2 linked regions of the Elephas maximus indicus genome follow. The protein of the gene in region 2 purifies or fractionates together with the protein of the main gene of each other region. This does not show direct contact. Links are inferred from orthologs where the notes say so. Each region holds a gene or a part of one and is shown on either strand. Other genes may lie near its edges.

Region 1 (7,237 bases), on a different chromosome or scaffold from region 2:
GGAGTCAGACACTGCAGCTCCCGGAAGATGCAGATGGCGTCTCCTGTGGCTTGGATCACGTCTGCCTTGGATAGCACGTTCTGGGCAAAGGCCTGCAAAAGCATACTGGTTACTGGGTGGCAAGGCCCACTCAGCACCACCCGCCCCCAAGGAATCCAGGGGAGGGCTCACCTCAACGGGGTCCACACCATCCTCCTGGGTGGGAGGCACGTAGAAGCGCACCTCCATGAGAGAGACTTCTGCGTCATCGTTCTGGTGGAACTCCAGTGTCACCTCATTCTTGCCTGTGGTACACTGGGACACGTTGCTGAGGGGTATCTCAAACACTGGCTGGTCACCAATATCAAAGGAAAGCAGCTGTCCTGTGGGGGAGGACTTATCAAGTCACAAGCTCCTCCCTGGAGCCTGCATGAACAACGTCCCCACCAGACTGTAAGTAATGTGAGGTCAGAGCACTGGGGCTATTCTGTTCACGCTGTACCCCAATGCCTGATGTACTAGGAGGTGCTCAATAAATGCAAAAACAACACACAAACTGATAGGAAACCAGAGACAATGAGGAGGAAAGAGAGCCAAGCAAGTTAAAGGCTATACGCCTTCATCCTACCTTTTCCCCCAAACGTCATTCTACCCAGGACTCACCGCCAAATTTCACCGTCCCCCAGTTCCAGCCCTTTACACACAGGTCCTTCTCCATTAACTCAAGGCGATAGTGAGTTTTAAAGAAATCAGAGAGTTTCTCAAACTCCTGTGGGTGGAAGGGAGAGAGATTGAGCCCAGTAAACCCCAGTGTTCCTAAACAGACTTGAATGTCCCGGAATGATCTATCTCTGAGAAATTACCCTAATATACTCTTTATCAGAAACCTACGCTGATTCAGTCTCAGCAGTAAGAGTTTTAAAGAATGTTGAAAGAACCTACTTCTGGGGAACGGATCTCATGCTGGGGGAGGGGTAAAGCTAGGCACTGATACTCCTGGTTATGAGCCTGGCAGTGCTATCAGACTTTTTAAACTCAGTATGGATATCACCTTAGTAAAAGTAAAGATTAAAACGAGGAAAAGTCTTGGTTAGGAAGCAAATCAAAATGGAAAATCAAAACTAAAACTAAAGCATCAAGCTAAGATTCTAAACCTGAATAAGGGCAGTGAGTGAGAGCAGCCATCACCTAAATCAAAAGAGAACATCTTCTGGAATTGAGGCACAAAGACACAATACCCAAGGTTGAGTACTGACTGCTTGGTGTCCTTGACGGCCCCACCCTAAATGTCAAAACCAGACCCAATGCCTTCAATTCCAACTCAAGGAGACCCTATGTGTTACAGACTAAAACTGCTCCACAGGGTTTGTCAGGCTGTAATCTTTACAGAAGCAGATGGCCAGGTCTTTCTTCTGAAGCACAGCTGTATGGGTTCAAACTTCCAACCTTTGGGTTAGTAGTCAAGCACAGACAGTCTGCACCACTTAGGAACCTCTGGCCTCACTCTAAGGAGCCCAAAATAGCAATTACATGGTTATCAGACAAAGGATGCCCAATTCTCTCCAAAAGATTAAAAACAAACAAAACAGCACAGCAAAAACGGGATTTATCACAACAGGGCAGCTCACCGACTCTCGGAAGCCGTCATACTTGTAGACATGGCCATTCTTTGTGAGCAGTTTAAGTCCATGACCCAGAGCAACACGGCGCCAGATGCCTTCTGTCAACTCCCCGGCCTGGATGTTGTCCACTTTGCCCGTCTTGCTGTTCTTGAAGATGATACCTTGGCGGCTTAACCTCAGTCGACCATCATTCTGTCAGAAAAATAGGCCCAGAGGTACAGATGGTAATGTGCAGTCTCACCAATGCCCCATTCTGCGGCTGGTGGGCTGGCGGGGTATCAATGTAGGAGCAACAGCTGAAGGGGTGAGGGCCAGTAAGAAGCCTGGGTTCTAATCCTGACTCTGGCACCCAGAACCCTTGCAGGTACTTAGTTTCCTCATTTGTAACAAGGACTTGGGACTGAACAGCATCTAAGATGCCTTCTTAGGCTGCGATCCTTTTACTCTAGGAATTCTGCTCAGTACTGCCTTTTGTTGGGGAAACACCAGGTACATATAATATTCTGAGTCCTCCTTTGCCACACTAGTAACGTCATCAAAGCAAGCTCTTATTAATAGAAGAACGCTACTTCCCTCCCCTTCCCTCCCCCTGTATTAAAAGCCCAATCCTTCTCACCATGGAGCCTTTCACCTCCTGATAGACATCGTTGAACTCCAGTGTCTCTGCCATGCTGACCTGGCCCCTGTTGGCCTGGGCACAGGGCCCTAGGCTGCACAAGGGGGAACAGGAGAAAATGGGAGCTGGGCCCCAACTCCTTGGTGGTTGTATAGATGCTCAGCAGGTTAAGGATCTGAATTCAAGAGGGGGATAGATAAACATAGGAGACAACACCTCACTATGCTCTCCACTGGAACCAAGTGGCAAACCCTGGCTGCGCCTGTGATGTCTCAGGATCTGCTCCGCCTGGGAGCCCCCACGGGCAGACTGTGCACAGCTCCAGGGGCAAGGCCCAGACTCGGCTGGGGAACTGGGCCTAGAACAGTGCTTACACGCCAACCAAACATCCGCTTGGGCGCCCCACTGGGCACCATGGCAAGGAGCAGCAGAACCCCAAAGTCTGCTCGGAGCCTGCACCTCCCCCCATCACAGCTCAGGATGCAGGGTTTCCCTTCCAGCGCTCCCACCTTGCCGCCCCAGCCCCACGGCTCCCCCCGTTTCCTAAAATGGAATCGCCCGCTTCCCGCGGATTCGAACGCGGAACGAACCATCCGGAGAGTCCCGCGGGGGAGCGAGGCCCGCGACCTCCTGGGGCACGAGGTCGACGGCCACCTACCTCAAGCTCTAGCCTCGCTAGGGCCCCGGCACGGGCGGTGGGCGCGCTGGGGGACGCAAGAGGGGGGAAGGGGGTAGGGGAAACGCAGAGGATGCTTTTCCCGCGTGCGCGTCCCCGCGTCCCGCCACCGGAAGCCGCGCACAGAACATAGAGAGGAGGAGCCGGCTAGAGGGGCGCGATCCAGGCCCGCCTGTGAGGCGGTCACATAGAGCGTCCCCAGCTCGGGAGGACCTGTGGGAGGTGAGGGCGCAGTGCGTCGGCGCGCCCTACGCCGTGGAATTCAACTAGAAAAGGGAGGCACATGGGGTCTTTAGAAAGCTACAGACACCCTTTCCGTGGAGGACTAGGTTCTAAAGGGAAGTTGTGGAGCTTTACTTCATCAGACTCTCCACACACGTGTGTGTCTGTGTTGGAACGATGCATGCCCCTATCTCTCTCCTGCACAGTAGGGGTTTCTGTGGAGTACAAAAGAGTCTGTGAAAGAAGCAGAAAAATATTTAAAGCTCATGGAGAGAAATGACCCTTCCCACCAGATGCAAAGAGAATGCTGGTGTTGGTGTCCTTGTGACCGTACTGCTCTCTAGCTGTGTCCTGTCAAGTGGGATTGGTCCCTTTTTGAAGTGACTTCACTGCCTGCACCCGAAAACCTCACATCCATAACTGCAATTTATGTTCTCCTGGAAGAGGCTGGCAAACGGCCATATCAAGTTCAAGTGCTGGTGTCAGATTCACCTTGGAGCCGGAACTGATTTGAAACCCCATCAGTCCCGGATTGCGAAAGCTAGGCCCTTCTCATATAGTCCCAAGGTGCATGTTGCAAAATCAGAGACCAGACCGGGAGGAGATGTTTCAGTTCATCTAATCCAACCTCCTTTTGCAGTTAGAAAAACCGAGGCCCCAAAAGGAGTTCTTAAGGTCTCAGTGAGCTGGTGAGGAAGCTGGAGACTAAAACCCAGATCTCCTTACCCCAGTCCAGTCAGTCATAATGACAGTGATGCTGCATTCAGAATACTTGATAACGTGCCCTGCATGACATTAGGACCGAAAAAACCAAAGTTGTTGCAGTCGAGGACTTCAACTCATAACAACCCATTAGGACAGAATATTTAAATTCAAGGTTTCCCTAACAATCTGACTGAAAACAGCTAGCTTGCTCACTCTGTCCTGGGATTGAGATGACAGGAATGCACCAATGCCACCTGAACTCATACCTTTAACTTCTGTGTAGTGGCTGTTCCAGCACAATCTAGAAACATAAATTCAATTGAATCCAATATAAGGGCTTATTATTAACCCAACATGTTTCTAGGCTTCCAGCAAACTGGTGAGCAAGATGGAAGTAGCCCCAACCTTCCAGGAACACGTAATCTAATGAATGATTCACATACTAAAAAAAAAAAAAATGTGATAACTGCCATGCTACAGGTAAAGCTTCAGTTACTGCCAACTGGAGTTAGAAATGTGTGATTCTGTACTCACTCCCTTCCAAGAGACCGTGCAAGAGACCCTCCCCCCGCCCCCATCCCATGCTATTGGAGGCAACTGGGAAGGCAGGGGATGGCTGCAGAATTGGGTAGCTTTAGGCATACACTCAGGAATGAAGGGGCTACTCAGCTAAGGGAGGCTGTGAAGTGGCTGGGGGATGGGACATTGCAAGGGGCTTTAGAGAAAGCGGTGAGCTGCAGTGAAGGAGAATGGAACAGAAACTGTAGACAGAATGCAGATAAAACATGAGTCCCAGAGGACCCTACTAGCCAGCTGCATCCCAGGCAATCAGGAGCCCAGGACTGGAGACCCACCCCTGCCGTGACATCACGGGGGAGTGGGGTGGAGACAAACAAAAAGGGGGTCCTCCGCCCTGGCCCTAGACTCTTGGCAGCCCAGATTGTCAATAGCAGAGAGAGCCTGGGCACTGGGCTTAAAAGAACAGGCTCCCCGTCCCCAACCCTCTCTCAGCTGCCCCATCCAGGCCACCATCTCTGTCTCCCTGCCCTGAAGACCCCTCCCTCCTGAGGCTGCTGTTTGGCTCCTTCTGGGTGGCCCCTGTGCACACCCTCAGCATGAACTGCATATCAGACTTCTTCACCTATGAGACCACCAAGTCGGTGGTTGTGAAGAGCTGGACTATTGGGATCATCAACCGGGCTGTTCAGCTTCTGATCATCTCTTACTTTGTGGGGTGAGTGTGTGGCCCTTGAGGTCCTAGGAGGGGAGGACCAACTGAAAGTTTCCTGTCCAGCTTTCTGAGCGTCTCCCCTCTGGGGGGAAACAGTTTCTTCTGGGGAGCCATGCCCTAAAGGACTGGCCTCTGCCACCCCCACCCAGGATCTGGTCCCCAGGTGGGTTCTTTACCCCAGTAAATCCTCCAGGGTTGGAGAGCGGTTCCTAGACACACACTCTGAGGAGTGGGTTCCTCCACCAGGAGAGATCCCTGGTGATCCATCTGTCTTCCCCCATTCCCTTATCTGCCCCTTAGGTAACAGGCAGACCACCCCCCCCTTTACATCCTCTCATTCCCCTTGGTCAACTATTTGGGGTCTCAAAAGATAAGGGAGCCCAGGAAGGGGGAGGGGAAGACCCTTAAACAAGGGAGATAGTGACAAGTTGACCAGGTTGGTGGCAGGGTGGAACGGAGGGTCAGTTGGGAGGGAAGGGTCCATTTAGAAGAGAGAGATTGCCCTCCTAGCATGGGGGAGATGGTGAGAGAGCTTGGAAAGGGGAGAAGCCCCTACTCTTGGAGAGTAGGATAAAGCTGGGGTAACTGCCCCTTGGGGTATGGGGGAGAAACATGGGCACAAATAATACTCGAGAGAAGAGTGGAAGAGAAAAGTGACTTTCCTGAAAATAGTGTGGAGTCCCTCCCGAAAAATCTAGAAATGCTCCCCTTTGCCAGAAAGCATAAAGTCCCTGCTTATACCTGAGTTTGTGCTGTATAGCCCATCCTGGGAGTTGCTTAAGAGCCCCCTCTGGGCCCCCACCTCTTGGAGGCTCCCCCACACACAAAGGGCCATGGAGCAGACAATGGCTGGGGAAGAAACACAGCATCTGTCCTTCTCGTGATCGTTTCCACAAACTGGTGGGCACCAGGAAATCCCCTCAAGGGTTTTCTTTTCTGATATGCGTGTCTCTAGTCTCGTGCTGTTCCCTGAGACAATGGGTCTGTGTGGGAGAGGCAGCAAGCTGGTGCCTAACTGCCATGAGTTCATTCAAGAAAGTCAGATGGGACTCCTGTGTGCACGTGGGCTGGAATCTTCATGCGAGTGAGTCTGCTTGCCCAAAAGATTGGGATAATGTGTGAGGCTGTGTGTGGAAAGCCATGTAGATGTGTACGAAGTGATTTTTTTTGCTTCGCGTGCTTGTGAGAGCCAGCGAGCTTTGGTTATATGGATGTTGTAGACAAGGCTGTACATCTGGACATTAGAGAAGGGATTCAGGTGTAAGGAAGGATGAAATGTCCTTGAGGTTCCCTTGCAACTTTGAGGTGTTGTGAGATAATGATGTTTGCAAATGTTCCATGTCTACATCTCCAAAGCCCAACCCAACGTTGGTTCTTCAACGTTATGTGTTCGTGTGTATATGCAACTGTGCAATTGTGTATACCCAGGAGATGGTATTTTGGTCCAGGTGACTGCAAAAACTGCCTCAGCATATTCTGGGACTGGCCTACCTCCATTGGCCTCAGGCAGGAGATAGATGGAAGATAGAGACAGACGGCTCCTGGACCAGCCCTCTTGGCCCCCTGCCCTTGTCTCTCCTCATCACAATCTGATACTCCGGGCTGGAGCCCAGCCTGCAGGAGCGAGCAGGAGAGGCTCTTTGGCATCTTGATATCCAACCCCATCCATTTCGCAGCCTGACAGCTCCCGACGGAGCAGCTCCTTCCAGTTACATCAATGCGCTCTGCATCCCCACCCCCTGCCGGAACCCCATCCGCATGCACAGAAACCCGTGAACACCATGACTTCAGGAATCCATTGTCCTTAATTTAGCAAAAAAATGTCTGCAGTCTTTCTTAGGTATTGTGAACCGAGGATAGAATGGGAGGCAAAAATAGATAGGGTCCTTATCCTTGTGGAGTTTACAGTATAATGCAAGAGATGAACTCAAGAGATGTACGTCAATCAAATAATCTCCACAAACGTAAAATTTCAACCATGGTTCAGGGTTTGAAGAACAGGTGCCGAGTTCTAGGAGCACTGCTAACATGGAGGTACTTGACCTGATCAGGGGACTGAAGGAAGGTTTCCGGGGGAGGCGATGTCTAAGTCAAGATCTGAAGGATGAATAGGAAGAATCTAGGTGAAGAAAGGGAATGAAGGGAGTCTAAGGCAGAAAAAAAACATCTCTACAAAGGGAAAGAGC
Region 2 (7,802 bases):
TTGACTGCAATTCAGAGAAGGATTCTTCCAAGTTTAAAAGAGTGAGAAGCAACTCTCCAAAGACTTCTTTCAACCCTATAATTTTATTTTTAAAAAATGAAATAAAGGTCTTGGCAAAAAAAAAAAAAAAAGATGGAAGGAATACACAGAGTCACTATGCCAAAAAGAATCAGTCAACATTCAACCATTTCAGGAGCTAGCGTATGATCAAGGACCACTGGTATTGAAGGAAGAAGTCCAAGCTGAACTGAAGGCATTGGGAAAAACAATGGGAAATACCACTTGAGATGTTTCAACAAACCAACGTAGCACTAGAAGCACTCACTAGCTTCTGTCAAGAAATTTGGAAGACAGCTACTTGGCCAACTGACTGGAAGAGATCCATATTTGTGCCCCATTCCAAAGAAAGGTGATCCAACAGAATGCAGAAATTATTGAACAGTGTTTTTTTTTTTTTATCGTTAATATCACACATAAGTAAAATTTTGCTGAAGATCATTCAAAAGCAGTTGCAACAGTACGTGGACAGGGAGCTGCCAGAACTTCAAACTGGATTCAGAAGAGGATGTAGAACCAGGGATATCACTGCTGATGTCAGATGGATCCTGACTGAAAGCAGAGAATACCAGAAGGATGCTTACCTGTGTTTTATTGATTATGCAAAGGCATTCGACTGTGTGGATCATAACAAATTTTGGATAATATTGGGAAGAATGGGAATTTCAGAACACTTAATTGTGCTCATGTGGAATCTGTATATAGACCAAAAGGCAGTTATTTGAACAGAACAAGAGGATACTGTGTGGTTTGGGATCAGGAAAGCTGTGGTTAGGGTTGTATCATTTCACCATACTTATTCAATCTGTTATGCTGAGCAAATATATGATCCGAGAAGCTGGACTATACGAAGAAAAACAAGGCATCAGGATTGGAGGAAGACTCATTAAAGACCCGTGTATGCAGATGACACAACCTTGCTTGCTGAAAGTGAAGAGGACTTGAAGTACCTACTGATGAAGATCAAAGACTACAGCCTTCATTATGGATTACATCTCAACATAAAAAAAAAAGAAAACAAAAATTCACACAACTGGACCAATAGGCATCATGATAAACAGAGAAAAGATTGAAGTTGTCAAGGATTTCATTTTACTTGGATCCATAATCAATGCCCATGGAAACAACAGTTGAGAAATCAAACGACATATTGCATTGGGCAAATCTGATGCAAAAGACCTCTTTAAAGTGTTAAAAACCAAGTTGTCACTTTGAAGACTAAGGTGCACTTGACACAAGCCATGATATTTTCAGTTGCCTTATACGCATGAGAAAGCTGGACAGTGAATAAGGAATATCAAAGAAGAAACGATGCCTTTGAATTATGGTGTTGGCAAAGGATATTGAATATAGCATGGACTGCAAGAACAGACAAGTCTGTCTCGGAAGAAGTAAAGCCAGAATGCTCCTTAGAAGCAAGGATACTGAGACTTTGTCTCACTTAATTTCGACATGCGGTCAGGAGTGACCAGTCCCTGGAAAAGGACATCATGTTTGGTAAAGTAGAGGGTAGTGAAAAAGAGGAAGCCCCTCAATGAGACGGATTGACACAGTGGCCGCAACAATGGGCCCACGCATAGCAAGGATTGAGAGGGTGGCGAAGGACCCGGTGCTGTTTCATTTTATTGTACATATGGTTGCTGTAAGTCAGAACCAACTTGATGGCACCTAACAACGACAACATCAAATATATAATCCAGGGTGATGATTCAACTCTACTTTTTAAAAGACATCTAAAGTCTCATACTGATTGCATTCATGTGATCCTTATTTCCCCAGCCACTTCCAACATGGCTGACTTCAGGGTAAAGGGCCAGAGGAACAAATCCCAGGGAGAGAGGCAGCATTCATCCTAGTTCCCATGTAGAGAGGAGCCTTCCCTCCTGGCCAGGTCCGTGGCCCTTGACTCCTTCTTTTAGCAGAATTTTCTCCTGTGATATTACTCAGGTCTCCTTAAGCACGTTCTTGTACCCACTCACAGTTTGGCCAGGGCGACCAAACGTTTGAATGCTATTTAGACTCAAGTTGGATCCTCTGCAAAACTAGGCAAATCTTTTTCCTAAGGTCAGAAACTCTTCAAAAAACCAGGTGAATTCCCAAAGCCAACTCTTCAGACAGGGATTGGACTGGACTATAAGACAGAAAATGATACTGGTGGGGAGTGAGCTTCTTGGCTCAAGTAGACACATGAGACTATGTGGGCAGCTCCTCTCTAGGGAGGAGATGAGAAGGCAGAGGGTGACAGGAACTGGCTGAATGGACACAGGGAATACAGGGTAGGGAGGAGGAGTGTGCTGTCTCGTTAGGGGGAGAGCAGCTAGGAGTATATTAAAAAAAAAAAACAAACCCAGTGCCCTCCAGTAGATTCCGACTCACAGCAACCCCATAGGACAGAGTAGAACTGCCCCATAGAGTTTCTAAGGAGTGCCTGGCGGATCTGACCTGCCAACCCTTTGGTTAGCAGCCATAGCACTTAACCGCTACGCCACCAGGGTTTTCCAGGAGTATATAGCAAGGTGTATGTAAAATTTTGTATGAGAGACTGACTTGATTTGTAAACTTTCACTTAAAGCACAAAAAAAAATTAAAAACAAAACAAAACCAGGTGAGCCAAGTTTCCAGGCATCCACATTTTTCCTCTGTGCTCTTCACCATGAATGTGGGTTTAAACTGTTGAAAATAACCGAATCATTCCAGAAAGCCAGTTTTGACCTTACCCCTATATGTCGGATCCATCTGGAAACAACTTTAAGGTAAAGAGGATGCTATCCTTCTTCATTTGTCTGCTTTTCACTACAACTTGGGCGATTGAGGCCTGGATGTCACATCATAGAATTCATTCTTGTGAGGTAATGTGAGTTGCTCCCTTAGAATTTTCCTTCCTAGGTTCTTATTCATTTTCACCCTCATTCATTTAAAAATCAAACAAACAAAAACCACACACACACCAAAAGTAAACCGAATAGTATGAAAATGCCGACTAAAGAGCATGAAATTTGAAAGATTAGAAAAAGCTTTTAAGCATCATCTTGGTAGATAATGGTTTAGGGGTTCCCTTGAGGCCACTTACAAATCTTGCCGCTTCCTCAAGGACCAATTTCCCCAAGGTGAAACACGGGGACCCTGTATTGTGTAGGAATGTGAAACTGTGCGTGCATCCCTCGGCTGCAAAATTGTTCGGTCACACACACATTTTCTTTACTCATATTCACCCATTTCCCCCATCGTTCCATTACTACATTTTTGCTTTTTTATAGAATTGCATTATCTTTAAGACACTGCCTAAATCAAATGTGTTCTTTTATTAAGCTAGTCTTTTTTTTTTTTTTAATTGGGAGTGGGTGGAAAGAAGTACCCCGAAACTTCCTCAGGTACCAGGCGTATTCAGAAAAATAACTTAAGATTCCGAGGAAGACTGTTGCCTAGTAGGGGCGAGTGGACACGTGCTGGAGAAGAAATGAATTTGCGTCTGGTCCTAAAACATCCTTTTACTGCTGTGATTTCTGCTGATTATCAATATATCCTCGTTGCAAAAAAGAAGGGGGGCGGATACAGAGAGAAAATGGAAAGCACCCCGCATCAGTGTGATTTTGGGATGTGAACTGCTCCCCTCCGGACAGGTGATGGAGGAGAGTGCGGACGCACTGGGTGTATGGCCCGGAATACCGGGTAGCAGGGTACGCTCTTGCTTGGTGGATTCAAGGGAGGTAAGGCCGACTGGCCGCTCACGGGCCCAGGGAGCAGGGCCATCCCCATGGGCGCTCCTATTAAGCCACCTGTGCAATGACTTGGCGCCTTCCCTGGCGTAACTCCTGGGCTCCGTCACTCCTGGTTCCCACCGGTTCCTACGCACAGACCCAACCCAGGAACCTTCCCCCGTAACTGTCCACCGACCGAAAATAGATTCCGAGTTCGCCCTCTTTCCCCCACCCCCCCCCTTAAAATCCTCCCCTTTAAAGGGAGCCACCGGGTGACGCCGGGGGAGTTTGCGGAAGCGCCAAGCGCGTTGAGGCCCTGGGCGGGTCCCGTGATTGGAACTGACCCCGCCCCCGGCTCCTCTTCCCCCATTGTGTGAGCCTCTAGGGCCTAGGCCCCGCCCCTCGCCCCCTCCCTCCCGGGCCCCGCCCCGCCCCTTTTTTCACCCCCTCCCTTGGCTCATTTCCGGCGCCGCTGCTACCGCTAGCCCGTAAGGAGGATTCGGCAGAGGGAAGAAACAACAGCCGCCATCTTGTTTGTGTGCTAGGCTAGGGGGGAGAGAGGGCGAGAGGGAGCGGGCGAGAGTGGGCAAGGAGGACGCCGGGCTGAGTGCGAGCTGCGGGAGCCAGAGAGTGCGGAAGGGAGCCGGGCCGGAGAGAGGCGACAGGGTCGAGACAGTGGCAGGGGGCCCGGGGCGCACGGCCTGGGCGACCCCTCGCCCCCTCCTGCCCGCACACACCCCCACCGCGGCCGGGAGCCGGGCCGGCGTCGACGCCTAGGGGGGACCATTACATAACCCCGCGCCCCGCGGCGCCTTCGCCCGCCGCCTAGGGCGGCCCGAGTGGAGCCTCGGGGGGCGGGCGCTCCCGGCCCCGGCCGTATTTATTTATTTTCCGCGGGAAGGGAGGGCAAAGGAGGCGAGCGCGGCGCGAGGAGAGGCCGCCTGCGCCGCCCTCCGGAGCGGGCCTCCTCGGTGGGTTCCGCGTCGGGGCGGGCGAGCGCCGCTGCTCGGCCCGGCCCCCTCGGCTCTCTGCGCCGGCGGCTCAGCGCCGGCGTCCTAGCTGCGCCTCCGCCGCCCGGCCGCCAGCGCCCGCCGCGCGATGTGAGGCGGTGGCGCCAGCCTGGCTCTCGGCTCGGGCGGGCTCTGTGCGGCCATTAGGGGCCGGTGCGGCGGCGGCGGCGGCGACGCGGAGCGCGGCGGCGGGAGGAGGGCTCGGAGGGTGGGGGCGCAGGCCCGGGAGGGGGCACCGGGAGGAGGTGAGTGTCTCGCGTCGCCTCCTCCTCTCCCCCCCTTTCGCCCCCGCCTCCTTGTGGCGATGAGAAGGAGGAGGACAGCGCCGAGGAGGAAGAGGCTGATGGCGGCGGCGCTCCGAGAGACCTCGGCGGGGCAGGGGCCGGCCGTGGCGGGCCGGGGACTGCGCCTGTAGAGCCGCGCGTTCTCGGGAGTCGGCCGCGGCGGACGCGCTCGGCGGCTTCGTGCTCTGCGCCTCCTGCGGGCTGGGCCCAGGCCCGGCCCCTCGCACTTGCCCCTACCTTTTCTGTCGAGTCCACATCCCTCTTCGGCCGCCGCGAGCCGGCGGAGAGAAAAAGGAACTTCCCCCACCCCTTCGGGTGCCGGCCGAGCCCCCCAGTCCCACCCCAGGGAGCGGGGCGGGGGCCCCGGGCCGAAGAAGAGATTTCCCGAGGATTCGCCTTTTCCTCGCTTGTATCTCCGAAAGAATTAAAAATGGCCGAGAATGTGGTGGAACCGGGGCCGCCTTCAGCCAAGCGGCCTAAACTCTCGTCCCCGGCCCTGTCGGCGTCGGCCAGCGACAGCACAGGTTAGTCTCGGGCCCGGCCTTCCCCGGCCCCTCGCACCTTTCTTCTTCCATCTTTGCTTCCTTTCTCTCTCGCCCTGGTAGCCTGCCTCTTGGCCCGAGTCCGTCGCAGAGGTATCTATCTGAATGAGCTGGTCGGAGGCGGCCGGGAGCCCTACCATTTTCTTTGCCTCCTAATCCATTCGTTGCAACACTCTGTGCTATCGATGTGTGTTCTGGAATTAGAGCTCGGAAGTGGGTGCTGTAGAGAAATGGCCTTTATTGTAGCGCCCATGCAGTTTTAGTTTGGGGAAATGCCAGCGCGTTTGTGTGCAAGGGCTTTTTTTTTTTTTTTTCCCCGGATTTTAGTTTTAATTTTTTTTTTTTGATGGTGTTAAACGAGAAATCGCGAATCCTTTCTCCTTGGTTGCACTCATTCTGTTTCCTCTACTTTCCACTCTTCAAGATTTCCTCTCCTTTGCACAAAGATTTTCTGCGGAGGATTAGGGCGTGAAAAATCGTGGTTTCTTTTAATTTTTAATTTTTGTGTGTACGATTTTGGATTTCAGGTTTAACGAGAGGTTTAACAAAAATTGGTCTGACCTACTATTCTTAGGGTTTTTTTGTTTTGTTTTTTCTTTTTGCTCTGAGAGTCAATATGGAGCGCAGTTCATTTTACATCTCCCATTTTTTTGTTGCGAGGCCAAAATGTCTGAAACTCTGGGTTTCCTCACTTGGGAGGAACAGAGATATTTTTGCAGTTTGTATTCACTTTCTCTTTTGGGGGGAAAGAAAAAAAATAAAGGATTTTGTGGAGTTATGTACCTGGAAATCAAGGATAGAAGTTGAAAGAGTCCCAATCTGCAACAAACATGAACCGATTGTACAAAAGTGAAAAATGAGGTTTGGGCCTGGGGGCGGGGGGGTTGTTCGTATTCTCTCTTTTTTTTTTTCAACCTTTTAAGCATATTCAGAGATTGAGATTTTAGTTTGAAAGCCCTGCAAATTCTTTACTCAGTTGTGGACTAGTCTTTTGTCGTGAGGATTCAGGAATACTTGTCTGCCCATCGCCCCTTTCTCTCCCTTCTCACAGCTAGTTTCGTGGTGCTGTCCTGATGGTCACCGGCCTTCCCGTTCACTGCCGTAGTTGTTTGAGATGCCAGGATAATGAAGAGGGAGAATGGCTGGCCATCTGACAGTCCACAAGATGTTCCCCTTACTACGGAGCATCTCTTTAAAAACTCCCCAGAACAGGCTCAACGTCATCCCTCCATCTGCCAGTGAGAATGCATAATGGAGTTAAATGTACCCTTTGAGTTTGTAGAGAACTTCCAGAGCATGTTTCTTACGAGGCTGCATTTCCAGGAGTGAAAATGTGAGGAAATGGCAAATGCTTTGAGTTTCTTTGCTCTTCGGAGAAAGATGCTATATGACAAGTTTAGGATAACCTGCAGTTTTGTTTTGTTTTTTAAGTAGGAATCATGCAGAGTTCCTTCACCTAAGGCTTGTAACATTGGCGCTGCATGAACTTTGTTCTGTTCTTATGCCCTGAAGTTTCTGTAGTCTTCAGGGATTTTTTTTTTTTTTAAGCCTCCCTCCCCCTGCCCCGAATTTTTATACATACACACATACAGAGTTTCTCGTTGCAGCTTACTAAAGTGTCATTTAGAAGGATTTTTTAGACCACCTTTAGACATATTTTCACATGTAGATTTTTGCGTTATCTCTTTAGTCATTTTCCATTTTTGTGTGATGTGGTCATGGATTTTACATTGGAGTTGGCTAAGTGACTTTGGGATAGTGTAGGGGTAAACTTTGCTTTAATTCGATGAGTCCTGATTGAGCAGTTTAGTCTTGGAGTAAATGCAAGGCCCAAAAGGAAGGATGTGCTCTGATGTTCAAAACTTCTCTTCAGGTGCACTATTGCATTCTCCCTGCACTGTGTACTTGGACATGTACGTCTCACTCACCTGGCTAATACATAAAAACCCTTCTGTTACTTGGAATATGTAGGAGTTCTGAGTGTATGAAATGGCTTTTTTATTATAAAAAATTATTTTTGTAATAAGAAATAAACCCTTAACATTGAGACTAATTCAGTCACAATTAGCACTAACAGTTTATCTTAATGTTATTTATTTTTCTCTAAATTTCGTAGTGAGAGTTATTATTTTTCTCTGTTCTGAAGAATTCTGTTACAGGAATTCTTTAGGATACAAACCAGTTTGGGGTTTTTGTTGGGGGAGAGGTGAC

What was found. Proteins that work in one complex are often made in the same cells at the same time.
Region 1: the proteins of EP300 (region 2) and SSRP1 purify together in Homo sapiens (affinity purification with mass spectrometry, with the first as the bait; 3 studies listed by BioGRID). This does not show direct contact. The link is inferred for Elephas maximus indicus from reciprocal best matches to the Homo sapiens genes EP300 and SSRP1.

The regions. Positions count from the first base shown.
Region 1 is NC_064825.1:118,746,775-118,754,011, forward strand, and holds the start of SSRP1 (FACT complex subunit SSRP1), read right to left. Parts: upstream 3,011-7,237; 5' UTR 2,876-3,010; intron 2,393-2,875; 5' UTR 2,272-2,392; coding exon 2,218-2,271; intron 1,794-2,217; coding exon 1,608-1,793; intron 749-1,607; coding exon 643-748; intron 363-642; coding exon 172-362; intron 93-171; coding exon 1-92. Other genes in the region: P2RX3 (P2X purinoceptor 3), read left to right, coding at 4,936-5,054. UniProt on the Homo sapiens protein: Component of the FACT complex, a general chromatin factor that acts to reorganize nucleosomes. The FACT complex is involved in multiple processes that require DNA as a template such as mRNA elongation, DNA replication and DNA repair.
Region 2 is NC_064822.1:185,258,596-185,266,397, forward strand, and holds the start of EP300 (histone acetyltransferase p300), read left to right. Parts: upstream 1-4,789; 5' UTR 4,790-5,479; coding exon 5,480-5,573; intron 5,574-7,802. UniProt on the Homo sapiens protein: Functions as a histone acetyltransferase and regulates transcription via chromatin remodeling. Acetylates all four core histones in nucleosomes. Histone acetylation gives an epigenetic tag for transcriptional activation.